2 linked regions of the Danio rerio genome follow. The main gene of each other region encodes a partner of the protein of the gene in region 2 in a complex. Links are inferred from orthologs where the notes say so. Each region holds a gene or a part of one and is shown on either strand. Other genes may lie near its edges.

Region 1 (4,299 bases), on a different chromosome or scaffold from region 2:
TTATAAAAATAATATTACTGTTATATACTGTGCAATAGTATCACAATAATATATATTTTATGGACTTATTACATTTTTATAATTAATTGAAAAAAATCTAAAGCAAATTGTAATTACAATTGAAAGTAAAATGCTACACAGAATGCATTGCTTATTTTGTCTTACAATAAAGTCAGCTGGCGAAAAGGCGAGGCGAGAACATCTTGTAAGACATCTTGTATGTCCTGCTCTTAGTGCTCCAACAGCCTGAGTATTTACAACATTTACACTACAACATTATGTATTTACCTTGAATTAGCTACATCATGTTTAATAATATGTATTTTTGTATTTATTACATTTTTATAATTAGTTAAAAAAATCAAACATTTTAATTACAATTACCGATTCACATCACCATACATAACATACAAGAAACCTATTTTTATAGTGTTATTTTGCTTTTGATTATTAAAAAGCTTTAAAGATATGTTCATCGAAAGGTTCTTTGATATGGAGCGAATAATATGCCAAAACAATCTGAATTTTCTTCACTGTTGATGACCCCTGACCTACTTTTTGCTAAATCTGAATTTCACAATCTGATTTTCTGGTTTTAAAATTTAAAATATTGAATTCGATGCTCTGAATTTCTTCATCTTGAAAACTCAAAACTGTATTTTCACAAGCTCAATATCTGCAATCTATAAATTTAGAACGAAAAAATCTGAAGTTTGAAAATACGTCAATAGAAATCTGAAAAAATTCAGTTGTCTTAAATTTCAGATGTTCAATATTCAAGTTAAGAAATTCAAATTCAAACAGTTTAATAGCATTTAATATTAAATTTTATTAAATTACAATTGCTATTGTGATTCAAATTTGCACAATTTAAATTCAGATTGTTTTTCCATATTATTTGCTCCATACTTTTGGAAGACAAACATACTAAAAAACAGTGTTTAAGGTCACTACTGTCACAATCACCAGCGATCTAGACCAACGAATCCTGTCATGCACCTCACACACACCTGTTCCAGTTCTCTGTTGATTACACACACACACACACACACACACACACACTTTTTTGAGTCTTGTTTATCTGTGAGCATTACGACGTGTTTTCTCCCTGTTTAGCCTAGCTGTGTTTTAACCCTTTGTCTCTTTGTTTTGATTCTTTGCTGCTTGTTCCGACCATTCGCCTGTTCTATGACCACGACTCTGGATTCTCTGTATGTATCTGTTTTACCCTGTTGACTGTTGCCTGCCTGACCATTCTAGTAACAAACCTGTTTGTTAAAACAGAGCAATGAAATTTTCACAGTATGTCTGATAATGTTTTCTTCTGGAGAAAATCTTATTTGTTGTATTTTGGCTAGAAGAAAAGCAGTTTTACATTTTTTAAAAACACTTCAAAGACAAAGTTATTAGCCCCTTTAAGCTATTTGTGTCCGATGGTCTACAGAACAAACCATCACTATACAATAACTTGCCTAATTACCCTAACCTGCCTAGTTAACCTAATTGACCTAGTTAAGCCTTTAAATGTCACTTTAAGCTGTATAGAAGTGTCTTACAAATATCTAGTTAAATATTATTTACTGGCATCATGGTAAAGATAAAATAAATCAGTTATTAGAAATGAGTTATTAAAACTATTATGTTTAGAAATGTGTTGAGAAAATCTCTCTGTTAAACAGAAATTGGGGGAAAAAATAAACAGGGGGGCTAATAATTCAGAATGGCTAATAATTCTGACTTTAACTGAATATCTCAGACAAAAAGCGTTGCAACAGGAATGCACTGACCATTAAATTTAGCAGTGCCCCAATTCCAGCCCTTAACACACATGTCTTTCTCTGTTAGCTCCACTTTGTAGTTGTCTTTGAAGTATTCTGAGATCTTCTCAAGGTCCTGCGCAAAAAGAAACGGATGAAAATTTAAGACCTGGAATGAAACAGCGGATCAAACTGAGTGATCAATTGATCTGTAATTTGCATCTCAGACTCACTGCGTCTTTAAAGCCATCATATTTGTAGATGTGGCCAGTGCTGGTCCATAGTTTGATGCCGTGACCCAGACAGACTCTCCTCCACTGGGCCTGAGTGAGTTCAGGGACCGGAATAGTGTCCACCTTCCCGGTCTTACTGTTTTTATACACCACTGTCTGCTTACTGAAGCGCAGGCGGCCGTCATTCTACAAGAAAAGACAGTCGGTCAACTTTATTGAGAGTTTGATAGAAAAACACCTCAAGTTAGAGAACAAAACCTTTTTTAACTCACCCATGAGCCCTTGACCTCCTGATAAATTTCATTGAACTCCAAAGTGTCACTCATGTCAGAGTAGACAGAATGGACCTGTGACGTTTAAAAGCTGCGACAGTTATTAATATACATTATACATTATACAATTTCCACTGCAAATGGCAATATGAATGTGTTATGAATGATAGAAAACTCCCAGTTTACTCTGGTGTCAACAGTAGACTTTTATTATAGGTTGTTTTGGATGTAAAAATCTAGCTTTGTGCTTTAAGAAAAGCTTTTGCGAGTGTTATTATTTTGTGGCTGCACAGCGAGATGATGTCTAATAATAAACAAATAAAGCTAGCAAAGCTGGCGTTCAGGCATCAAACAGCGGCTTTTGTGACGAACGACACGTTTGCAAATTTACAGCAAATTTACAGCAGGCTTAGTACATTTCGAACGCTTTTGTTGCATATGTTATGAAATATGCGAGAAATTTGAATGAGTATTACTGTTATTCGGCGAGAGGATCAAGGCCGAGTCCCGTGAGCGTAGATGTGCGGCGCGCAGGAACGCCTTCGTCATGACGCAATCGCGCAGTGTGCGTGGCTCAGCCCTGCCTATCGAACGTCAGTCTGTTTTGTAAACGATCGAAACACAAAGGGAAAGTTAAAAGGCTTTATTGATGAAGACTGCTGCTGTCAACATTTACAAATAATTTATCATATGACGATATCCTATCAGCGTCCAGGTATGCAATATATTTCAGATATACTTTTTTGACAGTAGTGTTTCAAGCACTGTTGTTCGATGGATCAATAAATAAAGATCGCCTTTACTGGTGATTTTAATGCAATTTATTTAGAAATTAAAATGAAATGCTACACAGAATGCATTGCTTATTTTATGTTTTAGACCGAAAGCATCTAGTAAGATAGTATTTGCATGTCCTGCTCTTTGTGCTCTCACAGCCAGAGTATTTACAACATTATTGACGTTACAACATTATGTATTTACCTCGATTTAACTTGTTGATATATCTTATTATGCTACATCACGTTTAAACTAGGAAGCTAACACGTTAGTTAACATGTACTAACAATGAAAATACTGAAACTGTTGTTTACATGTGCCTTGTACTTACTAAAGTAATAACAGTGAATTATTTATAATTACGCATGATAAACTGATACCAACCCCTTTTCTTAAACATATACTATTATAATAAGTTAAATATAGTTTTTTTTTTGTGTGTGTGTGTGTGTGTGTGTGTAAAAACACTGGAACAAAGACTCTTAAAGGGGATAGTTCACCCCAAAAAAAGAAAATTCTGTCATCATTTACTCATCCTTCACTTGTTCCAAACTTGTTTGAGATTCGTTCTTCTGTTAAACAAAAACAAGATAATCTGAAGAATGTTGAAATAAAAAACAGCCTATGACTTGTTTTTGATAATTTTTCCAACATTCTTCAGAATATCTTCTTTTGTGTGCAACAGAACAAAAGTTTAGGAATTTTCATTCTGTGTGAACTATCTCTTTAATTATTGTATAACTGAAAACACTTTCAAAGTATATATTCATTTTAATGCATTACCATTTATCGATAGTTCATTGATTGAAGTTACATACATACTGTAGCATATGTATTGCTCATTGTTTGCTTTATTTCAGATATGACACCAAAGCGTGGCCTCATCACCGACACCTTTAAGGTTGTGAAGAAGGCAAGGAGAGGAGGCAAGAGAAGCAAGTCTCCTTCACCACCGAAAGCAGGTCAGATAGTATTTTGTTCTGTGTGTTAACATGCATCTTTAAGCAGAAATCATTCCATATCACTATGGTCCTAAAGTGTGCAAATGCTTTAGAGGCACATGCAACCATGTAATGCATTTATAACCTGTTATTACTGCTCAGAGCCTGAACCCCCACAACTGAGTGAAAGAGAAAAAGATATACAGGAGCTGAAGAACTTTGATCTGGATTGGAAGTTTGGACCATGCACAGGTAAACGTCTGTTTTTGATTTTACATTGATTATAATAACGGCAGCATGGTTGCGCAGTGGGTAGCGC
Region 2 (3,500 bases):
GTCCTCAGTCTCTGAGGAATAATCCTCATCGCTGTCCTCCTCTTCCTCCTCCTCCTCATCAGCTGAAGGGTTGAAAGTTTCATCCTCGATCTCAGACTCGGAGTCTTCCTCCCCTCCGCTGCCCTGAAACACACGTTAACAATATCAGAAAAGGATGAAACTTGAATCAGATGAATTATTAATGTGAAACACACGTGAATCTGCTAACAGATGCTCATATTATTATTACTTTATAAATAAATGCAATTTATCAAGTCAGACTGGTCTCCAGTGCATGTTGGACCCTGGCAGGGCTACCCTCTGTCATCCATTCTGTTCATCATTTATTTGGACAGAATTTCAAACTTGGTTGAGCTGGAGGGGGTTTGGTTCGGGGACCACAGGATTTTCATCGTTATTCGCAGACGATGTCGTTCTGTTGGCTTCCTGAACATGGACCTTCAGCATGCACTAGGGCGGTTTGCTGCCGAGTGTGACACAGCTAAGATGAGGATCATCCGGTGCTCCACCAGAAAAAGGTGCCATGCCATCTCCAGATTAGAGGAAAGTCCTTACCCCAGGTGGGGCAGTTCAAGTATCTTGGGGTTTTGTTTACAAGTGAGGGAAGGATGGAGTGTGAGATTGACAGGCGGATCGGTGCAGCAGCAGTAATGCGGACGATAACCGGTCTGTTGTGGTAAAGAAGGAGCTGAGCCTAAAGGCAAAGCTCTCGATTTAACGGTCAATCTACATTTCATACTCTCACCTATAGTCATGAGCTTTGGGTCATGACCGAAAGGACAAGATCTCGAATACAAGCGGCAGAAATGAGCTTTCTTCACAGGGTAGCAGGGTGCACCCTCATAGACAGGGTGAGGAGCTCTGCACCCAGGAGGAGCTCAGAGTAGAGCCGCTGCTCCTCCACATTGAGAGAAGTCAGCTGAGTTGGCTCGGGCATCTGCTTCGGATGCCTCCTGGACGCCTACCCAGGGAGGTATTCCAGCCATGTCCCACCGGGAGGAGGCCTCGGTGAAAACCCAGGACACACTGGAGGGACTATGTCTCTCGGCTGGCCTGGGAACACCTCGGGATTTCCCCGGAGGAGCTATAGCAAGTGTCCAGGGAGAGGAAAGTTTGGGGTTCTCTCCCAAGACTACTGCCGGCCCGGATAAGTGGATAAAAATGACAAGACATGACAATTTAAAATAATGACAAAGGACGTGATATGTGAGTGGTCCCTTTCATTTACTTATTGCTATATCAGACCTGTGCATCCCAGTTTGTGAATTTAAATGAACTAATGAGTTAACGTGGTCCAATCAAAGCGTCATGCAGGCCATAAAATGCCCAGATCTGATAAAGCACATACGTTTCTTGTGTAGTAAATTCTTATTTAAATGTAGTAGTCAATTTCAGACAGCCTAACACAGGGGTCACCAATCCTGGTCCTGGAGGGCCGGTGTCCCTGCAGGGTTTAGCTCCAACTTGCCTCAACACACCTGCCTGGATGTTTTAAGTATACCAAGTAAGACCTTAATTAGCTTGTTCAGGTGTGTTTGATTAGGGTTGGAGCAAAAATCTGCAGGACACCGGCCCTCCAGGAACAAGTTTGGTGACCACTGGCCTAACGCAAGAAAAGCTCCACAAAGTGACCTTGTTTCAAATGTTCAGACTCCTCACCTCACTCTCAGGGTCCAGGAAAGACCAGCCGCCCTGCTCGAAAAAGCCCTCCGGATCATCCACTATGGTCTTCATGATCTTGGTCCAGTTCAGAGACTGAATGCCTTCAGTGTATTTGATATCACACGAGCTGCGAACACAAAACAGAAGACGTCCAGTCAAACACGACCATATATAAAGACATTAATATTAAACCATCATACTAGACACTAATACCACGACCAAATAGACCAATTTAGACTAAACATCACATCAGACATTAAATACAGACTAATCATCACATTAGACACCAAATACCACGATCAGACAGACAAATTTAGTCTAAACTGTCACATTAGACACCAAATACCACGATCAGACAGACAAATTTAGACTAAACCATCACATTAGACACCAAATACCACAACCAAACAGACAAATTTAGACTAAACTGTCACATTCGACAACAAATACCACAACCAAACAGACAAATATAGTCTAAACTGTCACATTCGACAACAAATACCACGATCAGACAGACAAATTTAGACTAAACCATCACATTAGACACCAAATACCACGATCAGACAGACAAATTTAGACTAAACCATCACATTAGACACCAAATACCACGATCAGACAGACAAATTTAGACTAAACCATCACATTAGACACCAAATACCACGATCAGACAGACAAATTTAGACTAAACCATCACATTACACACCAAATACCACAACCAAAAAGACAAATTTAGACTAAACCATCATATTAGACACCAAATACCACGACCAAACAGATAAATTTAGACTAAACCATCACATTACACACCAAATACCATGACCAAACAGACATATTTAGACAAAACCGTCACATTACACACCAAATACCATGACCAAACAGACAAATTGTCTAAACTGTCACATTAGACACCAAATACCACAACCAAACAGACAAATTTAGTCTAAACCACACAACCAAACAGACAAATTGTCTAAACTGTCACATTAGACACCAAATACCATGACCAAACAGACAAATTTAGACTAAACCATCATATTAGACACCAAATACCACGACCAAACAAACAAATTTAGACTAAACCATCACATTACACACTAAATACCACGACCAAACAGACAAATTTAGACTAAACCATCACATTACACACCAAATACCATGACCAAACAGACAAATTGTCTAAACTGTCACATTCGACAACAAATACCACGATCAGACAGACAAATTTAGACTAAACCATCACATTAGACACCAAATACCACAACCAAACAGACAAATTTAGTCTAAACTGTCACATTAGACACCAAATACCACAACCAAACAGACAAATTTAGACTAAACCATCATATTAGACACCAAATACCACGACCAAACAGACAAATTTAGACTAAACCATCATATTAGACACCAAATACCACGACCAAACAAACAAATTTAGACTAAACCATCACATTACACACTAAATACCACGACCAAACAGACAAATTTAGACTAAACCATCACATTACACACTAAATACCACGACCAAACAGACAAATTTAGACTAAACCATCATATTAGACACCAAATACCACGACCAAACAAACAAATTTAGACTAAACCATCACATTACACACCAAATACCACGACCAAACAGACAAATTTAGACTAAACCATCACATTACACACCAAATACCATGACCAAACAGACAAATTGTCTAAACTGTCACATTAGACACCAAATACCACAACCAAACAGACAAATTTAGACTAAACCATCACATTACACACCAAATACCACAACCAAACAGACAAATTTAGTCTAAACCACACAACCAAACAGACAAATTGTCTAAACTGTC

The links.
Region 1: supt16h (region 2) and ssrp1b share a complex: the UniProt entries of both Homo sapiens proteins name them as parts of the FACT complex. The link is inferred for Danio rerio from reciprocal best matches to the Homo sapiens genes SUPT16H and SSRP1.

What each region holds. Positions count from the first base shown.
Region 1 is NC_133176.1:47,969,222-47,973,520, reverse strand, and holds the start of ssrp1b (FACT complex subunit SSRP1), read right to left. Parts: upstream 2,801-4,299; 5' UTR 2,739-2,800; intron 2,354-2,738; exon of another isoform or gene 2,338-2,353; 5' UTR 2,317-2,337; coding exon 2,263-2,316; intron 2,177-2,262; coding exon 1,991-2,176; intron 1,894-1,990; coding exon 1,788-1,893; intron 1-1,787. Other genes in the region: pold4 (DNA polymerase delta subunit 4), read left to right, coding at 2,953-2,977, 3,900-4,001, 4,143-4,232. UniProt on the Homo sapiens protein: Component of the FACT complex, a general chromatin factor that acts to reorganize nucleosomes. The FACT complex is involved in multiple processes that require DNA as a template such as mRNA elongation, DNA replication and DNA repair.
Region 2 is NC_133182.1:2,079,826-2,083,325, reverse strand, and holds part of supt16h (FACT complex subunit SPT16), read right to left. Parts: intron 1,790-3,500; coding exon 1,660-1,789; intron 124-1,659; coding exon 1-123. UniProt on the Homo sapiens protein: Component of the FACT complex, a general chromatin factor that acts to reorganize nucleosomes. The FACT complex is involved in multiple processes that require DNA as a template such as mRNA elongation, DNA replication and DNA repair.